Linked DNA regions of Schizosaccharomyces pombe. Changing the gene in region 1 together with any one later gene gives a genetic interaction. Each region holds a gene or a part of one and is shown in the gene's direction. Other genes may lie near its edges.

Region 1 (4,665 bases):
TCGACAAAAGGAGGTCTTTAAGATTTGGCAAATTTGAGTAATCTCCAGACCTTAGTCGTTGCCATTCAACACCATTTTCTGGCAGGACTACATTTGTTGCGGCTTCAATCATACTGAGGCCTAGTGAATATACATCGGCTGGTTTCCCATAATTATGCGAAGCTAATATTTCGGGAGCTATATAGACTCTGTCGCCTTCGAGATCAACCATCGAGGAGACCGGTAAACTAGTTGCTAGTCCGAAGTCTCCCAACTTTAAGTTACCATCACGAGTTATAAGAACGTTGGAAGGCTTAACGTCTAAATGAACAAATTCTAAAAGATGAATGAAATTTAATGCCTATGTTCGGTTAGTGAATTCAAATGACGTGTCTGTGGAACGCGACTTTTAAATATGTAATAACTTACTTGAGTTAGTTGAAACAACATTTTCCACACGCGAAAAGGATCCATGACCTGCAATAATCCCAATTCGCTTAAAAATAAACTTAGGTCTCCGTTTTCACAATAATCTAATTGCAAAAATATATTATCATTGTAGCTCCAAACGTTCACTAGATTTACTACAAATGGACATGCTTGCAAGCGTTGCAAAATAGATACTTCCTGTAAGTGACGCTCTTTTCCTGTAAACTTGGCTGCATTTTTTTTTAACATTTTTACAACGTAAACCGTTTCAGTAGGTGGGTTGATCGAAGACACATGATATACAAATGAAAAATCACTCTCGTGTATCGGCTTAACTTGTTGGAATCGAATTCGAAGATCACTAGTCCAATCTTCCTCTTCTTCGTAATCATCTGCGCTGTTGATGTTTAAAAAAATTGGACTGGTAGGTGTCCAACTTAATGAAGAAGGTACGTCTTTCTCATCCCAGTTATTAACGTGGGAACTTGAAAGGAAAATAGGCTGACTCTTGCAAGGCGTTTCGCAAAATTCCAACAAGTCCTCTGAACCATAAGACAAAGAAGGAAGTTCTTCCATTTCAAACGTTTCATCCGAGCTGTCAGAGTTTGGATGATCCAACCGACTAAAAGTATCTAGGTCGATATGTTTACATTTGCGAGCTAAAAGAGAGGTAGTGGGTGACAGCGGAGATTGAGGTGGTTTTAATTTTATTTTCGTTCCCTTTTTACAAGGTGTATGAGGTTGTTCACTTCTTGGATTAGTCAAATTCCCTTCCCATAATGACCACTTTTCACGTTTTGATAACAGTCCTGTGCTTAAAGAAGTCACCGCCCTTTTTCGTTTTAAATCAATTGGCGTTGAAGCATCCACAATTTTTTTGGATAACTTCAAGCCGCTCGAAAATGCAAATGGTTTGCTACACCCATCGAGATCTGAATTCTTAAAAATTCCGTGGCGAACTGTAGTGGATAATCTGATGGCTTTTGCATTATTTTGCATAGGGGTATGTGGACTTCTTTTTGTATTGGAAGGTTTAAAGAATGTCAGTTTTGATGACTTATGGCTCTGATTTTCTTCATGGCCAGACGAAAAATTGTAAATGGGTTCATCGTAGAAATTTAATGGAGAATGCTCATTAAACGAAGAGGATATATTAAAAAAACATGGTGTTCGCGTTGGAGTAATTGGGATGGTGGTTGATGAATCCATCTTTAACTGAAACCTGAATGTAAATAAAGTTATATTTTTTTGCTTATTAGCTGTTAAAATCCCGTTTTCACTTTGATATCTCCGGTTTTCCTAAATAATAAATAATATGCAGATGATAATGTAGTTCAACTCTTCCAACAAAAGGAAAATCACAAAGGATTTATTTCCTTTTGTAGAGAATTAAATAACACTACTATTCTTTTCAGCTTTTAAGGGCTTTTCTATAGCAATGTGTTGTGCGCAAAGGATAACTTTGAAAGTAAACAACCATTGTTGACATGCACGTACACAAACAACACATCTTAAAGTTACGCGTAATATTAAAATGTGTTACGACGCGTCATGACGCGTTCGCGTTTTTCATTTGGGATAACGCGACGCGGCTTCGTTCTTTTGCCTTAAACCAACCACTAATTAAAAAAAAAAGAATTTGCAAACATGGCTGAGCGATTATCCGTGGGTGCACTTCGTATAATCAAGTAAGTTAACTGTCCAAATTATATACTCAAAAGATTTCGACAAATTGGGATGTTAACACGTTTCTTTAGTACATCCGATGCTTCGTCTTTTCCTCCTAATCCAATTCTCCAAGTCTTAACCGTGAAGGAGCTAAACTCAAATCCAACTTCTGGTGCTCCTAAAAGATATCGTGTTGTCCTTTCCGATTCAATCAATTATGCGCAATCTATGTTAAGCACCCAGCTGAACCATTTGGTTGCCGAAAATAAACTTCAAAAAGGAGCGTTCGTACAGCTTACCCAATTCACTGTAAACGTTATGAAAGAAAGAAAAATTTTGATTGTTCTTGGTTTGAATGTTTTAACTGAACTTGGCGTAATGGATAAAATTGGTAATCCCGCTGGTTTAGAAACAGTTGACGCTTTACGGCAGCAGCAAAATGAGCAAAACAATGCTAGCGCACCACGAACAGGTATTTCGACAAGCACTAACTCATTTTATGGAAACAATGCTGCAGCTACAGCACCGGCTCCACCTCCCATGATGAAGAAGCCAGCAGCGCCGAATAGCCTTAGCACAATAATCTACCCAATTGAAGGTCTCTCTCCATATCAGAATAAATGGACTATTCGTGCCCGTGTTACTAACAAATCTGAGGTTAAACATTGGCATAATCAACGAGGTGAAGGAAAGCTTTTTAGCGTAAATTTACTCGATGAAAGTGGGGAGATTCGTGCAACAGGCTTTAATGACCAGGTTGATGCTTTTTATGATATCTTACAGGAAGGTTCGGTTTATTATATATCTCGTTGTCGTGTGAACATTGCAAAAAAACAATATACCAATGTTCAAAACGAGTATGAGCTGATGTTTGAACGTGATACTGAAATAAGGAAAGCTGAGGATCAAACTGCCGTCCCCGTTGCGAAGTTTAGTTTTGTTTCTCTACAAGAAGTCGGCGATGTTGCCAAAGATGCTGTTATCGATGTAATTGGTGTACTCCAAAACGTTGGACCAGTTCAACAAATTACCAGTCGTGCAACTTCTCGTGGATTTGACAAGCGTGATATCACTATCGTTGACCAAACAGGATATGAAATGCGTGTTACGCTTTGGGGAAAGACAGCTATTGAATTCTCTGTTTCTGAAGAAAGTATTCTCGCTTTCAAAGGAGTTAAAGTTAATGACTTTCAAGGACGCTCTTTGTCAATGTTAACTAGCAGCACCATGTCGGTAGATCCAGATATCCAGGAATCTCATTTGTTAAAAGGTTGGTATGATGGACAGGGTAGAGGGCAGGAATTTGCCAAACATAGCGTAATTTCATCTACTTTATCTACTACTGGAAGGAGTGCTGAACGTAAAAATATTGCTGAGGTTCAAGCCGAACATCTGGGAATGTCAGAAACACCCGATTATTTTAGCTTAAAGGGCACCATTGTTTACATTCGAAAGAAAAACGTGTCATATCCTGCTTGCCCTGCTGCTGATTGCAACAAAAAGGTTTTTGATCAAGGTGGCTCCTGGCGATGTGAGAAATGTAATAAAGAATATGATGCTCCTCAATACCGTTATATTATAACTATTGCTGTAGGTGATCATACGGGACAACTCTGGCTCAACGTCTTTGACGACGTCGGTAAATTAATCATGCATAAAACGGCAGACGAATTGAATGATCTACAAGAAAACGACGAAAATGCCTTTATGAATTGTATGGCAGAAGCTTGCTATATGCCATATATCTTTCAATGTCGTGCTAAGCAAGACAATTTTAAAGGTGAAATGCGAGTACGCTATACAGTGATGTCAATTAATCAAATGGACTGGAAGGAAGAGTCTAAAAGATTGATAAATTTCATTGAGTCTGCTCAATAAAACATTGTGTTTTACGTCTCGCTGGTCGAGTAATTGAGTTTTTGGCTTAAATCGCGAAAACTACGATTTATGATTTTGCATACATTGATTACAAAGTGACTCCTTTCCTTATGATTTGGTACTTCACTTACATTTAACTAGATTTAAAGTAATTATATATGATCTGAATTTTTGGAGTAATTAGTTCTGTTGCTTACATATTAAAGTTCCTTGATGGGTAATTTACGCTATAATGGCTTGATTGAAATCACCGCTAAAAGAATGCAATGATATCTTTTAATATGAAGTAAAATATACAGTAAACTTATCAATTGTTTTAGAATTGAAACTGTTGAAGAAATAAATTACCAGATTGTTTTGAAGTAAATACGAGTCTACGAAAATGCAATCCTATTTTAACAGGAATATGAACCATGATTTTTTTAAATTTACTTTATAAATAAACAACTTTAATAAGGAAGCGATTTAGATACCAATAACAGCAGGTTACATTCTTTAATTGAGTAATAATAATATAACTGAGCAAAAAGACTGTTTTGCGACAAATTTTGTTAATTACATACAAAATCTTAAAATACAACATTTCTTTGATTAAATCGTACAAATTTATCTTTAAAGATCCTTAATTAGCTCCCCACATTCTAAATGGAATGGAGTAAACTATTTAATCCGTCTCGCAACAACCTTCAGTAAAACCTTGACAACGAGAGA
Region 2 (6,853 bases), 3.4 Mb from region 1:
AACCAGTTACTTCACCAGGTATAAAAAAATTCTTTTTATTAAACGTTGCTGCACACCCCCTCACAGAATGAGCCCATGAAGCAAGAAAATCAACTGTAATTTGAGTAGCTTTATCAATACGAAAACCATCCACATCTAACATGGCAATGATCATACATGCGAAGTGTTTTAACTTTTCTGAAACCGATGGCCTCCATTCTCTAAGTCTATCTTGGACAGAAGCAAACTTTGAAAGCTGACGTTCCCAATCAGGATGAGTACCAAAGGCTTCTGTATCGCCATACTGATCGAAATCTGAATCATAACAACCAACATAATCAATCACAACAGGCGCGCCATCTTCACCCCAAAATCTGGGAAGCTCACACTTTGGGTCATATTTATTTGTGAAATTCCAGTCTGGATAAATGACGTTGCTTTTCCACACCGCCTCATGTTCAAATAAAGAAAATGGAGTAGTACTGTTCAGATACTTCCGAAACCCTATAAGATCTCCCAACGTAGAAATTGTAAGGTCCAGAACTAAATAAAACCCTCTACGATGGATTTCTTCTATCGTGTCACGCCATTGTGCAATTGTTCCAGAATGGTGATCGAGGATGGTGTAGTCCAGTGGTGAGTACTGATCAGCACCCCATGGCTGATTTAAAAATGGTGTACCGGCGATGTAGATAACCTTATTCGTTAACGAGCATAAAAGCATAACTCTATCTTACCTTTATTCCCATAATCTCCAAATAATCTAGTGAGTCTTTCAGGCCTATTATATCCCCTCCGTTTCGAAAACCAGTTTCATAAATATCATACTCATAAATAGTATTGTTAGCTTCATTATTTCTAGGATCACCATCTTTCCATTTATCCAAAATAACTGTGTAAAATGGCACTTGCCAATCATCTGGACTGGGATGGTATTGATGGTTTTCCCATTTTCCCCAATAATCTAGAGGATCGGTAGCTGATTGATTTTGGTTTAAATTCCATAAAGATTCTCTTTCATCATATTTAGCAGTAAAGACCAACCTTGGTATACTTAATATCAAATTCAAGACGAGAATATTCTTATTTCGCATCGTTTATGGTATTTCCTCAATTGACGTGAAGAAGCTGCCCTGTTCAAAATAGTTTTATTAAAATTAATGCGATCGTTAATGCTATTATATATGAATTTATCAAGATTTTTCCCGATTCAAATGATGGTTGCTTCTAAATACGAGAAGAGTACAATAACCAATAAGTCAACTTTTTGGAATGTAAACAAACAAACGAACCTAAAAAATTTATATTAATTTTTGCTTACACATGCATTTCTATTTTAAAAATAAATTTTAAAAAAATTAAGAAGGAATTTTATTTTATAATTAAATCGCAGTTTGCGCTTTTGTATGCAAACGGTCATTCAGTTAATAAGCTTATACTTAAGAAGAGTTGAAGCGAATTTCGATACAGATAATATTTATTAATTATGTATTAAGGAAAATCAATAATTTTGCTTTCATCGGACTTGGTTTTAGTTCAATTTACCTGTGAACGACTTCACAAGGTTCATTGTAAAGATTACTGGCACATATTCATGTGTAATTTTATTTAAAATCAATCGAGAACATGACTGCGGAAAACCTAAGGAAATAAATTAACTAGCATTGTTGGCGTTAGGGAACCGAGTATCTATAAAACTGAAACCTCCGACAACCATACTCCAAATATCTATTTTACGAGCATTGCCTATTATTTTGAGAATAAGCGCAGTCGTTAAGGCTTTATTTTAATTTATTTCTATTTATTTTTTCTTTGCATTTACATCGTTGATCATCATTCTTTTTCACGTGTTTTAGTCGTTCTTTTCAAAGCTCATTACCTGGTTGAATTTTAGCCTGGTTATTTGAGTATAATTATAACAAACTTTTTTATTTTTTAATGTTTATTGCCTTCCTTTTTTTGTAAATTAATAATGTTCAACGACCAGTCGAAAACAACTTCATCTGTGAAAGGTATATGTGCCACTACTGACAACAATCATGGTAATTTAAAAAAAACTAATTCAACTCCTTTCAGGAAAAACTATTTGCTAAATGGGAGAACTAAATTGAAGCTGGAAAATTTTGCGTACAATGCATCTACAGAAATTAGTTCACCTAAAATCTCTGAAAAAAAGCATTCTTCATTACCAATTAAACGAAAGAATACTTTTAATGAATCCTCAACATCTTTTTCCCCATTTACTAAAGCTCATAAAGAAATTACTGACGATTTAAAGCCTGACAAATCTTTCACGCGGAAATCTGACTTGAATAGCCAAGACATGCCAGGTATGATTTTTCTTGTATTCAGACGTGTATTTTAACTTTTAGAAGTATGTTTTCAAGAAACTTCGAAGGATTTGTGTCGTAGCTCTTCTACTCAACATTTGCTGGATCATCAAACGACGGACTCAACGATTATAGATATGAAACCAGTGTCAACGAACTCAAAATCTGATGTGTTTACATTATATACGGATGAAACTGTCCTATTACGACGATGTGCTTCAGATAATAAGCCACTGATAAACAATAATTTGTCGAGTTCAAATGTTTCGGAAAACCAGAGTAGAAGCTTCGGATCGTATGATGAAGTAAAAAACCAAGGAAATAACCTGCATAAAGTCCCTAGCTTGGTGTCTATAATTCGTAATGCAAGATCATCTGAGCAATCAAGAATTGCTGCAAATTCCAGTTGTCTTCTCAAAGGATCAGATACCGAAATTGACGAGGATGATTTTGCCTTAGAAGCTGAAGATCTGGCAGCATTAGATTCCCTTGAACGCCAATACTCACAATTACCTAATTCTACAGTAACTGCTTCTGCAAAGGACATAGAAAAGACAGCTAAGGTCAACCATGTGGGAGGTGATTTGCAATCTTATTGTTCAGCAACAAAAGCATCTGATGCTACAATAAATGAAGAACCTGTGAACCTTGCTCTTGATAAAGCTTGTAATTCATTGCCGGATATCAATAGCGACTTTATCGATGATTGGGATGATTCGTGTGATGGATGCACTCCTGGTGAATTGTGCGAGTTTTCCTCCGAATACACAGTATTAGAAGTTCACGAAGACTTCATTTTTCATGAAGGGAATCACTTTCGACAATTAAAGTTGATTTTGGAAGCAAATGATATACTGCATCAGTTATTTTTACGCGGTGATTGGACTGAGACTAGTATTTTTGTAGGGGATTCTATCCGTGTTGAAGCTACATTTGACAAAGATAATACCGCTATCGTTGACAACGATAAAGGACTTATTATCATACATCCGAAAATTTTAATGTCTGCTACGGCAGTGGCCAGCTCTTTTCCTTGTTTGAGGAAAGCCGTAATATCTGACAGGGTTGGCATTTATGGACCTCCTACAAAAGCTATGGTAACTGGAAACATTTTACATGATTTTTTTCAACACGCATTATACAGAGGTATTGATGCCCTTGAAAATGTTGATATCAACCTTGAAACATCAATAAAAACATACATCTCTGATATCTATTTTGCTGATTTGTCGCTCGATGAAATTCGAGAGGAACTTGATGCGAGGCTTCCCCTTCTTAAATCTATTGTTGAAAGATATTTAATAAGTAAAAAAAATGACAACAACAATGAAAGTATTCACATTTCAAGGCTTCTCGATATTGAGGAATCCATATGGTCACCCAGATTTGGATTAAAAGGTAATATCGATGCTACAGTTGAGGTGGTTTTAACTGAAAAACCTGAGTCTTCGTCAACCCTCACACTTCCGTTAGAGCTTAAAACTGGCCGATATGTCGACAATATTAGCCATTTTGCTCAAAGTTTGCTTTATACATTACTCATTTCAGATCGTTATGGTATCAATACTAATCAGGCATTATTATGCTATTTGGAAAATAGTACTATCAAGAATTTGGTTGCAAGTAACTCCCAACTTCGAGGGTTGATCATGACAAGAAATTCTCTTGCACAGCATAACTTTAGGCGCAGCCTTCCTGAAATGATTTCGAACCGAAAAATTTGCGATCACTGCAGTTTAGTTTCTGAATGTTTGTTCTTTCAAAAGATGAGTGATAAAGGAGTAGCTAATAGTAACGGCTTGACTGAGTCATGGAATGAATGGATGCGCGAAGTAAAAGATGAGGATCTTGAATTTTATAAGAAGTGGGAGAAGTTATTAAATCAAGAGGAACGACTCTTACTACTAAAAAGAGGCGATGTGTTGACTTTTGATACAGAAGAGCTAGAAGCTTATGGAAAAACTCTGTATCCTTTATACATTACTAAAGAGGATATCGTTTGTTTAGAAATTGATGACAGGGTTTTTCATTACAAATTCGCTTTTTTAAATGACAATGGTTATCCTCGAAATTTCTTGCACTCAGGCTTCAGCGTTGGTGAACGAGTATTTATTTCTGATGAACATGGACACTGGTCACTAGCTAAAGGACACATAGTCCATATTCAAGATTCATGTATTGAAGTACGAACTCGTCATCGACTTCATATTCCATGGCTAAAGATGCCTAACTTTGATTTCAAAAAAAACCAGGTATTTTTTGGTAACTATGAAGATTCCAAATTGTCATTTATCGGAAGTAACCATACGAGGTACAGAATTGATAAGGACGAATTTTCGAGCGGAATTGCATCAATAAGAGGTACCTTGATGTCTTCTGTATTACCAGATGCTCCCTTAATTATAAGGGACATGATTATCCGTTTGAAGCCTCCAAAATTTTGTAATAGTGCATTAATCGATCCTGAATTTTTGAAATGTTTAAACGAAGATCAAATTACAGCTTTAAAGAAATGCCACGCTGCAGAACATTATAGTTTGATACTCGGAATGCCTGGAACGGGGAAAACCACTACAATTTCTAGCTTAATCAGATCATTGCTTGCCAAAAAGAAGAAAATACTTCTTACTTCTTTTACGCATTTAGCAGTTGATAACATTTTAATTAAACTGAAGGGTTGTGATAGCACAATCGTCCGCTTAGGATCTCCTCATAAAATCCATCCCCTAGTAAAAGAATTTTGTTTGACTGAAGGAACGACGTTTGACGACTTAGCGTCATTAAAACATTTTTACGAAGACCCCCAAATAGTTGCATGCTCTTCTCTAGGGGTATATCAGTAAGTAATTGAAAGCGACGGCAATGAACAAACTACTAACAACATTAGTTCCATTTTCAATAAAAGAAAATTCGATTATTGTATAATTGATGAGGCATCCCAAATACCTCTACCAATTTGCTTAGGCCCTTTGCAGCTTGCTGAAAAATTTGTTTTAGTTGGTGATCATTATCAACTTCCTCCTTTAGTAAAAAATTCAAGAACATCTAAGGATGGTTTGTCGCTCAGTCTATTTAAATTACTATCAGAAAAGCATCCTGAAGCCGTTACCACTTTAAGACTACAATATCGTATGAATGAAGACATTAATTCATTATCTAGTGAACTTATTTATGGCGGCAATTTGGTGTGTGGGTCCAAGACGATATCCCAAAAAAAATTAATTTTGCCAAAAGCTCATCTAAGTGATGGTTTACCCGATTCGTCGTCTAGCCTACATTGGGTCAACAAGTTAATCAATCCTAGTCATTCAGTCATATTTTTTAATACCGATGATATTCTGGGAGTTGAATCAAAAACTAATAATATTCTAGAAAATCATACTGAAGCTTTTTTGATAGAACAAGCAGTTTCCTCCTTCTTGGAACGAGGCGTTAAGCAAAGTTCTATCGGGATAATTTCAATTTACAAAAGTCAGGTGGAGTTGCTTTCTAAGAATCTTAAATCATTCACTGAAATAGAAATTAACACTGTCGATCGTTATCAAGGAAGAGACAAGGACATCATTTTAATATCTTTTGTGAGATCCAACAGTAAAAACTTAGTGAGTATTGAACCAATTATTTACACAACTGCTAACCATTTATTTAGGTTGGAGAATTGCTACGCGATTGGCATCGTTTGAACGTTGCTTTAAGCAGGGCGAAAGTGAAATGTATTATGTTTGGCTCGTTATCTACTCTTTCGTCTTCAAATATAGTTTCTCATTTATTGAAATTATTAGAAAAAAACAAATGGATTTTCACGTTAAATGAGAATGATATAGCAACGAAATTTGACGAGAATAGCTCTCCAATTAAGGATTGTTCTCAGGTTGCAACGACAAATAATGCTAAAGTTATTATTAGAAAGAACCAAAGGTTTTTTAATAGTGACAATTTATGTGAAAAAGCTATTTTACCTCAACTGGAATTTTGATAATCTACTTCAAAAAACTCAATATTTTACTGGATACGATCTTCATAATGAAGAATGTATATATAAATGCCTAAAATAAAATTCATCTGATCCTTGTTCATGAATATAAGTATTAATCCCTCCATGATATATAAACATCGTCAGTACGATATCTTTGAGTAATCGTCGATTCTGCGACGGCACATCGGTCCCCGGTTTTATAAGCCAACAACCCTGCTTGGGCTATCATTATACCATTATCAATACAGAAACGTTCATCTGTAGAAAAAACATCAGCGCCTCTATCCGAACTCATTTCAGCCATCATTTGTTGGAGACGTTCATTGCATCCAACACCTCCAACAATTAAAACAGAATCAGCTCTGATATGTGCCATCGCGCGTTCTGTAATTTCAACTAGCATTGCAAAGCCAGTTTCCTGTAAAGAGTAACAAAGATCTTGCTTTGTAACAGAACTCGGATTTTTTGGGTCTAATAGCTCTGTAGCTGCCGCTTCAACCCCTGACAACAATCCGGAAAATGAACAATCCATACCTTTAACAGTATAGGGTAACTCTATAAATCTTTT
Region 3 (6,571 bases), on another chromosome or scaffold:
GGTGAAAAAAGATAGAAAAAGGAATTGAGAAAGAAGAGTATAAAAAAAAAGAAAGAAATGCGAAGAGAAATTAATAAATGGAATAAAATAAGGGAAAATAAATTAAAATAGAACAAATTCAGTGTCAATGGAATTCAAAAAATGCAAACCAATCTCGTACGCCCTCAAAAAAAGCAATTTTATAGTAAGCCGGAATGAAAACGATTGATGCTTTCAAAGTTATGCGATGAACCAGAGAAACTCCCGTCCTCTATTAATAAAAGACTTTGACATAAAATTACGAATACAGAAAGAAAGAAAAAAAGAAAGAAAGAATTGTATCGCAATATCAATGCAACAGTCTGTTTATTCGGTTTGTGATGCCACAATAAAAGGGTTAGGGCGGAAGGAATAATATAGGATGATCTGATTGAAACAACCCAAAAAGGAAAGAAAGCTCCCAAGCGTTTCAGAGGAATCAAGTTTCGTAGGTTTATAGACAGAGAAAGAGAGAAAGCAAAAGCAGTATATTATGAAAGGTAATGACTTGATCAAAAAAACAACCTCTTCTAATGAAACGTTTGGGATAAATCAAAATCGATGCCTAAGAAAAGATTATAGGACTTTATGGTTTTTAAATATATGTGTAAATGTTAAATAACTTATAACCCACCACCAAGGGATCTTCGTGGACGGCGAGCGGAGTGGATAAGAAAATGGCTGGTTGTATGTTCGCGACGGAAGAACAAAATTGGTCTTTGACTAGCAAATTTTCCAAATTTAGATTACATGATTTAAACGATAAATAGGGCAAATAAAGTGTACAAAAAGATATTTGATCAATTTATATGATGTTGAGCACAAGCTGAATAGTAAACAATGCGAACGCAATTAAAATAAAATAAGTCAATACAGCATAGTCATAGAAATCGATCAATTGAGGTTATCCGGATTAAAGCTAATTATTTTAGATGATGTTTTTCATATTTGTAAATCGGTAATACAATTATGAGCTGGTCGGACAGAAAAAGTGAGCACATAAATTGCAGCAAGTAGAAAAGCAATAGGCAATATAAAGTAAAGGAGTTCATTCATGACTTCCCTTTTTATATAAGCGTTTTTTTTTTTAGTGGAAAGTCGACCAGGATGCAGTTGAATGTTGATATTAACTTTGTTAGGACTAGTGAAAATTCAGATTTGTACTTTTTTTTTAAGGAGTTCAAGACTTTTTTACTACATATTCAACATTGAAATCACCTTATCTATAGAAGAAGTAGATAAACTTAGCCCAAAACAGCATACTGATGACTTATAGCTTCTCATCCCTTCATAATATTAATGCGGTTTACTGCTGCTGTAACAATTCTTCTGATATATTAAGTATACGTATTTTTCCCTTCGAGGATAATCTTTTCTTAATATACCTGTTGCTCTCTCAAATTGCTAAGCAGACAAGTAAACAAATCAATTGTTTCATTGAACGAACCAGGACGGCTATATAAACTTATTATTATAATTTAAATCAAATTTTAAACATTCAACTCTGGAAACACTAACAAAAGCCTTTTTTTATGTCGCCTTTTAGCATGTGTTTCGAGTGGAAACCCTCCATGCAAAAGAAATTGAAGGTGAAAGCAATATACTAAAGCAAAACATTAATTCATCAAGCAATACGCAATTTACATATTAATGGTCTTTGATTTAGAAAATCGTATAAATTAGAATTTTTCATCATCTTACCGTTATAACGAGTTCGTAGCTACTTTCGCAGAAAGTTTGTGGTCAAATTATCTTGTCTTTTTCTCCACCACCAAACCCTCGTTTTCACGGGAAACATTCAGCATTGTCGATTCGATCGTCAAACTGATTGTTTTTATAGTAGCAATGGATTACCGGCATCCAAATGCACTCGGTGTGAATGAGAGCTCGCGTGCTTATGAGGAAATTTTTGGTGCTCCAAGAAAACGGGAGCCGGCGAGAACTGTAAGTACTCCTGCGTTCATGGAACCGGCTCCAGTCTCAAAAAAACCTCTTCCTCCTCCCACGCGAAGGCTTCCTCGGAAACCTTTGCCCTTTCGTTCCACGAGTTTGCAGCCTCCATCGTCTCAACCTCCTGCACCTCCAACTCATCAGAGAGAAGCATCTCCTGTGAAAAATATTGAGCACAGTGAATCTTTTCCTTCCGTTTTTGGTACTTCAAATAATCACCAGATCGTCCCATTGACTCTTAAAGACGGAAATGATTTTGGTGCTCTATATGCATCTTTAAACACCACACCCCATTTTCCTCAGGTATCGAATCATGCGCCCAATAACTCTAATTCCCCTTCTTTGACTTGGCACACATCATCCGGTGATGATTCCAACCAAAATCCTTTTTTCGTTCGGCGTCAGTCTCAGAGTAGCACGTCTCCGGTTTCGGATTCAGTAGATGAGAACCTCCTTTCAGCAGTCTCTTCTGTTACAGAGTCCGTAGAAACAAACCTTCATCTCGATCAAAATTATCCTTACGGCTCTCCTGTTCGTTCGTCTAAAAATCCCTTTCTCTCTTCAAATTCTCGATTACCAACTGATGATTCTTCTCACACTGTTGGTTCTCATTCATTTACTTCAGGAACTCACCCACCCATTGTTTCTTCTAATTCCGCCTTTACACTTCCCAATGCTGTTACTCCTGCAGCTCAAGCACCTCTCATACGTAGTGTTAGTGAATATCCTGCTAACGTTTCTCCACCTGCCCAGTCCCTTCAGCTACCAAAATCTACTAGCAATCCCGCGGATCTTCATTTAAGCATAGCTTCTGCTAGCAGCCATAAGAATATTTTTTCTGGGTTGGACGTCTTTTCTAATGTCTTTCATGGTCCCTCTACCACATTACGAGACAGAGAACATGATATGCGAAATCGCTCATTTGATCATTCTACCTTGGCTCATTATGAAGCAGTTAAGCAGCAGAGACTTGGTGTTGAACCTACTGCAAGGTCCTTTACGTTGAGCTCTTATAAGTCCCGTGCAAGTGGAAATTCCCTAATTAATGATCGAAGCTCTACAACAACGCCGACGTTTGTTAATTCGGAAGCTAGCTCGCCTGTTCATAAAAATAAACGAAGACGCAGAATATATGCTGCCTTACTTTCTCGTGTTGCCAGCGAATTGTTAGATAGACTACAGCTAGGTGATATCACGAAAGACGGTTTAATTTATTCTAATGCCTTTACTGGCGATCATGCAGTCACCGTGCTAATGGGTATTATACATACTTCTGATAGAAATCTCGCTTTACTTGTCGGACGCTCTTTAGATGCACAAAAATTTATTCATGATGTTACCTATGATCATCGTCTTCGTGATTCTCATCGTGAAATATATCAGCTTCAAGGTACTGGTTATCGCCCCTTCTTACGCGCAAATGATAATGCATCCATTAACAACAAAAACCATCATAAGGAATTGGAGGACAATGAGTCGGGCACTCGAATCTCACCGTCCACGTTAGGTGACACTTCTTTTCCAAATGGTATATTTACTTTATTGACGCATTGTTACTCTCCAACATGTGCAAAAGATCATCCCTGCTATTCTATTTCATGTCCTCGACGATTGGAACAGCAGCACAGACTATTTGCCAAAATGCGTGCAAACACTGAACAGTCTTCCTCCCTAGCGTTTGATGATAAGGAACAAAAATTGTGGATTCACAGCGTACCCCAGGAGATTGCTTATAGTGTCAGTGACCGGGAAAGAAAGCGTCAAGAAGTAATTTGTGAGGTTATCTATACTGAGCGAGATTTTGTTAAGGATTTGGAATATCTTCGGGATTATTGGATTAAACCACTATGGGCTTCATCTTGTATACCTGAACGAAAAAAAGAAAAATTTATTCGTACTGTGTTTTTAAATGCTTTAGAGGTTCAAGCAGTTAATTCTAAATTGGCTGAAGCTCTTACTAAAAGACAAAACTATAAACCCATTGTGGATAATATTGCGGATATATTTTTGGAGCACGTTCCAAAATTTGAGCCTTTCATACGATATGGTGCAGGCCAACTCTACGGAAAATACGAGTTTGAGAAGGAAAAGTCATCTAATCCTGCATTTGCTAAGTTTGTCAGTGACGTTGAACGTCTGAAAGAATCACGAAAGCTAGAGCTAAACGGCTATCTGACTAAACCAACTACCAGATTGGCTCGTTATCCATTACTTCTAGAAGCGGTATTAAAATATACTGATGAGGGTAACCCTGATAAACAAGACATTCCGAAGGTCATTAATATCGTTAGAGGATTTCTCTCACGTCTTAATGTTGAAAGCGGAAAAGCAGAAAATAAGTTTAACTTGTTTCATTTGAATCAACAGCTGGTCTTTAAACCTGGAGAACATTATGATTTACATCTGCTTGATGCGAACAGACAATTAATATTCAAAGGACCCTTGAAGAAAAGAAGTGCTGGTTCCACTTCTTCAGAGTCTGCGTCGGATGTTACTTTGTTTCTCTTTGACCATGCTTTGTTGATAGTAAAACCAAAGACTATTAATAAACGTGAATTATTGAAAGTTTTTCAAAGAGTATGTTTTTTCTATTCATTTAAATTGTTTTTTCTAACTAGTATAGCCTATTCCTCTATTACTTCTTCAACTATTCCTTGTTGATGATAATGGATTAAGAATCCCTTATTCAAGTAAGCAACAACTAGCAGCTGTATCAAAAGCAGCGAATGGGAAGCCACCTTCTAGATTTTATCCATTTAGCTTACAACTTTTGGGTCGTAGAGGGTACGAAATCACTCTTTATGCAACCACTGAAGTTAGTAGGGATAAGTGGTTAGAGCATATTGACAACCAACAAACATTGCTACAACATCGTAACCAGTGGTTTGAGTCTGTTACCATTTGCTCTAATTTCTTTGTTGGTGATAATAAAGTAAATGCGATAGGCGTTTATGATAGTGGTCGTCGACTTTTATATGGGACTGACACAGGTGTGTACGTCTCTCTTCGAAAAGCAAACAGCCCACTTCAATTCAAGCCTGTACGTGCGTTAAATATTCCCAACATTTCACAGCTTGAGGTTATTGAAGAGTATAGTTTATTGCTACTGCTTTCCGATAAGGTGTTATATTCGTATCCTTTGGAAATGATTGATGCGGATACTACTCAAGCCCCTAAAAAAGCAAGGAAAGTTTCTGGTCATACAACTTTCTTTCGCGTAGGAATTTGTCTGGGTAAAGTTCTTGTGTGTGCTGTCAAAAGTTCCGTCTTGAGTGCTACTATAAAGGTTTTTGAACCAGTCACTAATTACTCTAAAACACGGAACATGCCAAGCTTGAAAAAATTCCTTACTGTTAACCAAGACCCATTGAGGATTGTCAAAGAGCTTTATATACCCACGGAATCAACTTCGGTTCACTTCCTGAAGAATAAACTCTGTGTCGGATGTACGAGAGGTTTTGAGGTGGTCAGTCTCGATAACCTAGAGACGCAGTCTCTACTGGATCCAGCCGATACGTCTCTTGAATTTGTGGAGAAGAAAGAAAATGTTAAACCTATCGCTATCTATCGTATGAATGGCGGTGAATTTCTTTTATGCTATTCCCAATTTGCTTTTTACGTAAATCGAGATGGATGGCGTTCTCGTCCTACATGGTTTGTTGTTTGGGAAGGAAGTCCTCAAAACTTTGCCTTAAGTTATCCTTATATATTGGCTTTTGAACCCACTTTTATTGAAATCAGACATGTTGAAACCTCTGAATTGATCCATGTCATTTCCGGCAGAAACATCCGTTTGCTTGCTGATGGAAGAGGAAAGTTAGGGGACGGTGGTGAAATATTTTATGCGTGCGATCAACGTGGTGAAAATTGTGAGACAAGTGTTGTTTGTTCCCTTCGATTGACGAGTGCTGCTGCCCACGCCAAAGAGCAGCATGTAGACAAGTAATTTTGGTTTTTTTGAACTTAATTTTCACGTTTTATTTATAACGGTTAATTGGATATTGGTTTGTTCGGTTATCTTTTCTTTTCTTTTTTAAAAAAATAATTTAGGTGCATGAATTTTAATGATAAATAAGATTTTTTTAAAATATATACGTTAACAATATTTTAAAGTGAATAACTAGATATATTGTAGGCAAAAAGTACTAGCGAATATGATCAATGTTACTATACTAGAAGTAAAATATTTTTAGTCCTCATATTCTAGGGGATCACCATATACCCAGAAACCGATATGATTTAGACGTGCTTCTTGCTGATGCTCTTCTAGAATATTGAGGGATGCGGTATCTTTTTCAAAGTGAGATGTTTTTTTCTTGGGAATAACACTAGCCATGCCGAGCGCAACCAGTTGGGCATTAATACAGTCAGAAAAATCTGAACCATCACTAGGATTATACAAAGTTACAGAATACACGTTTCCTTCGTGTCCATCGACTTTAGCCACTAGACCTTTATTCATGGCTAGCTCCCTGAAAACGAGTCTTGCGTCTTCATAGTAATCAGAGCTGGGAGGAGGTAATTGAACGTAACTGAGACGAGCAAGTTGCGCTTGAGGCTTCAATTTAGTATAGGTATCTGGTAAAGAGGATATGTTTTTGAA

Evidence for each region. Genes that interact genetically often act in the same process or in processes that back each other up.
Region 2: mutations in ssb1 (region 1) and dna2 are lethal when combined (synthetic lethality), as found in Schizosaccharomyces pombe (one study listed by BioGRID).
Region 3: mutations in ssb1 (region 1) and rgf1 impair growth when combined (synthetic growth defect), as found in Schizosaccharomyces pombe (one study listed by BioGRID).

What each region holds. Positions count from the first base shown.
Region 1 is NC_003423.3:218,651-223,315, reverse strand, and holds ssb1 (DNA replication factor A subunit Ssb1), read left to right. Parts: upstream 1-2,017; 5' UTR 2,018-2,055; coding exon 2,056-2,096; intron 2,097-2,165; coding exon 2,166-3,954; 3' UTR 3,955-4,134; downstream 4,135-4,665. Other genes in the region: M phase inhibitor protein kinase Mik1, read right to left, coding at 1-340, 409-1,617. UniProt on the Schizosaccharomyces pombe protein: As part of the replication protein A (RPA/RP-A), a single-stranded DNA-binding heterotrimeric complex, may play an essential role in DNA replication, recombination and repair.
Region 2 is NC_003423.3:3,591,791-3,598,643, reverse strand, and holds dna2 (DNA replication endonuclease-helicase Dna2), read left to right. Parts: upstream 1-1,687; 5' UTR 1,688-1,951; coding exon 1,952-2,309; exon of another isoform or gene 2,310-2,354; coding exon 2,355-5,148; intron 5,149-5,196; coding exon 5,197-5,911; exon of another isoform or gene 5,912-5,933; intron 5,934-5,958; coding exon 5,959-6,285; 3' UTR 6,286-6,353; downstream 6,354-6,853. Other genes in the region: cell wall alpha-1,3-glucan synthase Mok13, read right to left, coding at 1-676, 717-1,073; kae1 (EKC/KEOPS complex N(6)-L-threonylcarbamoyladenine synthase subunit), read right to left, coding at 6,398-6,853. UniProt on the Schizosaccharomyces pombe protein: Key enzyme involved in DNA replication and DNA repair.
Region 3 is NC_003421.2:1,243,400-1,249,970, forward strand, and holds rgf1 (RhoGEF family guanine nucleotide exchange factor Rgf1), read left to right. Parts: upstream 1-1,786; 5' UTR 1,787-1,863; coding exon 1,864-4,545; intron 4,546-4,591; coding exon 4,592-5,914; 3' UTR 5,915-6,071; downstream 6,072-6,571. Other genes in the region: tudor domain and nuclease, Snd1, read right to left, coding at 6,158-6,571. UniProt on the Schizosaccharomyces pombe protein: Stimulates the exchange of Rho1 and Rho5 GDP-bound form into GTP-bound form. Controls septum formation, cell wall synthesis and localization of F-actin patches. Coordinates actin deposition with cell wall biosynthesis during bipolar growth.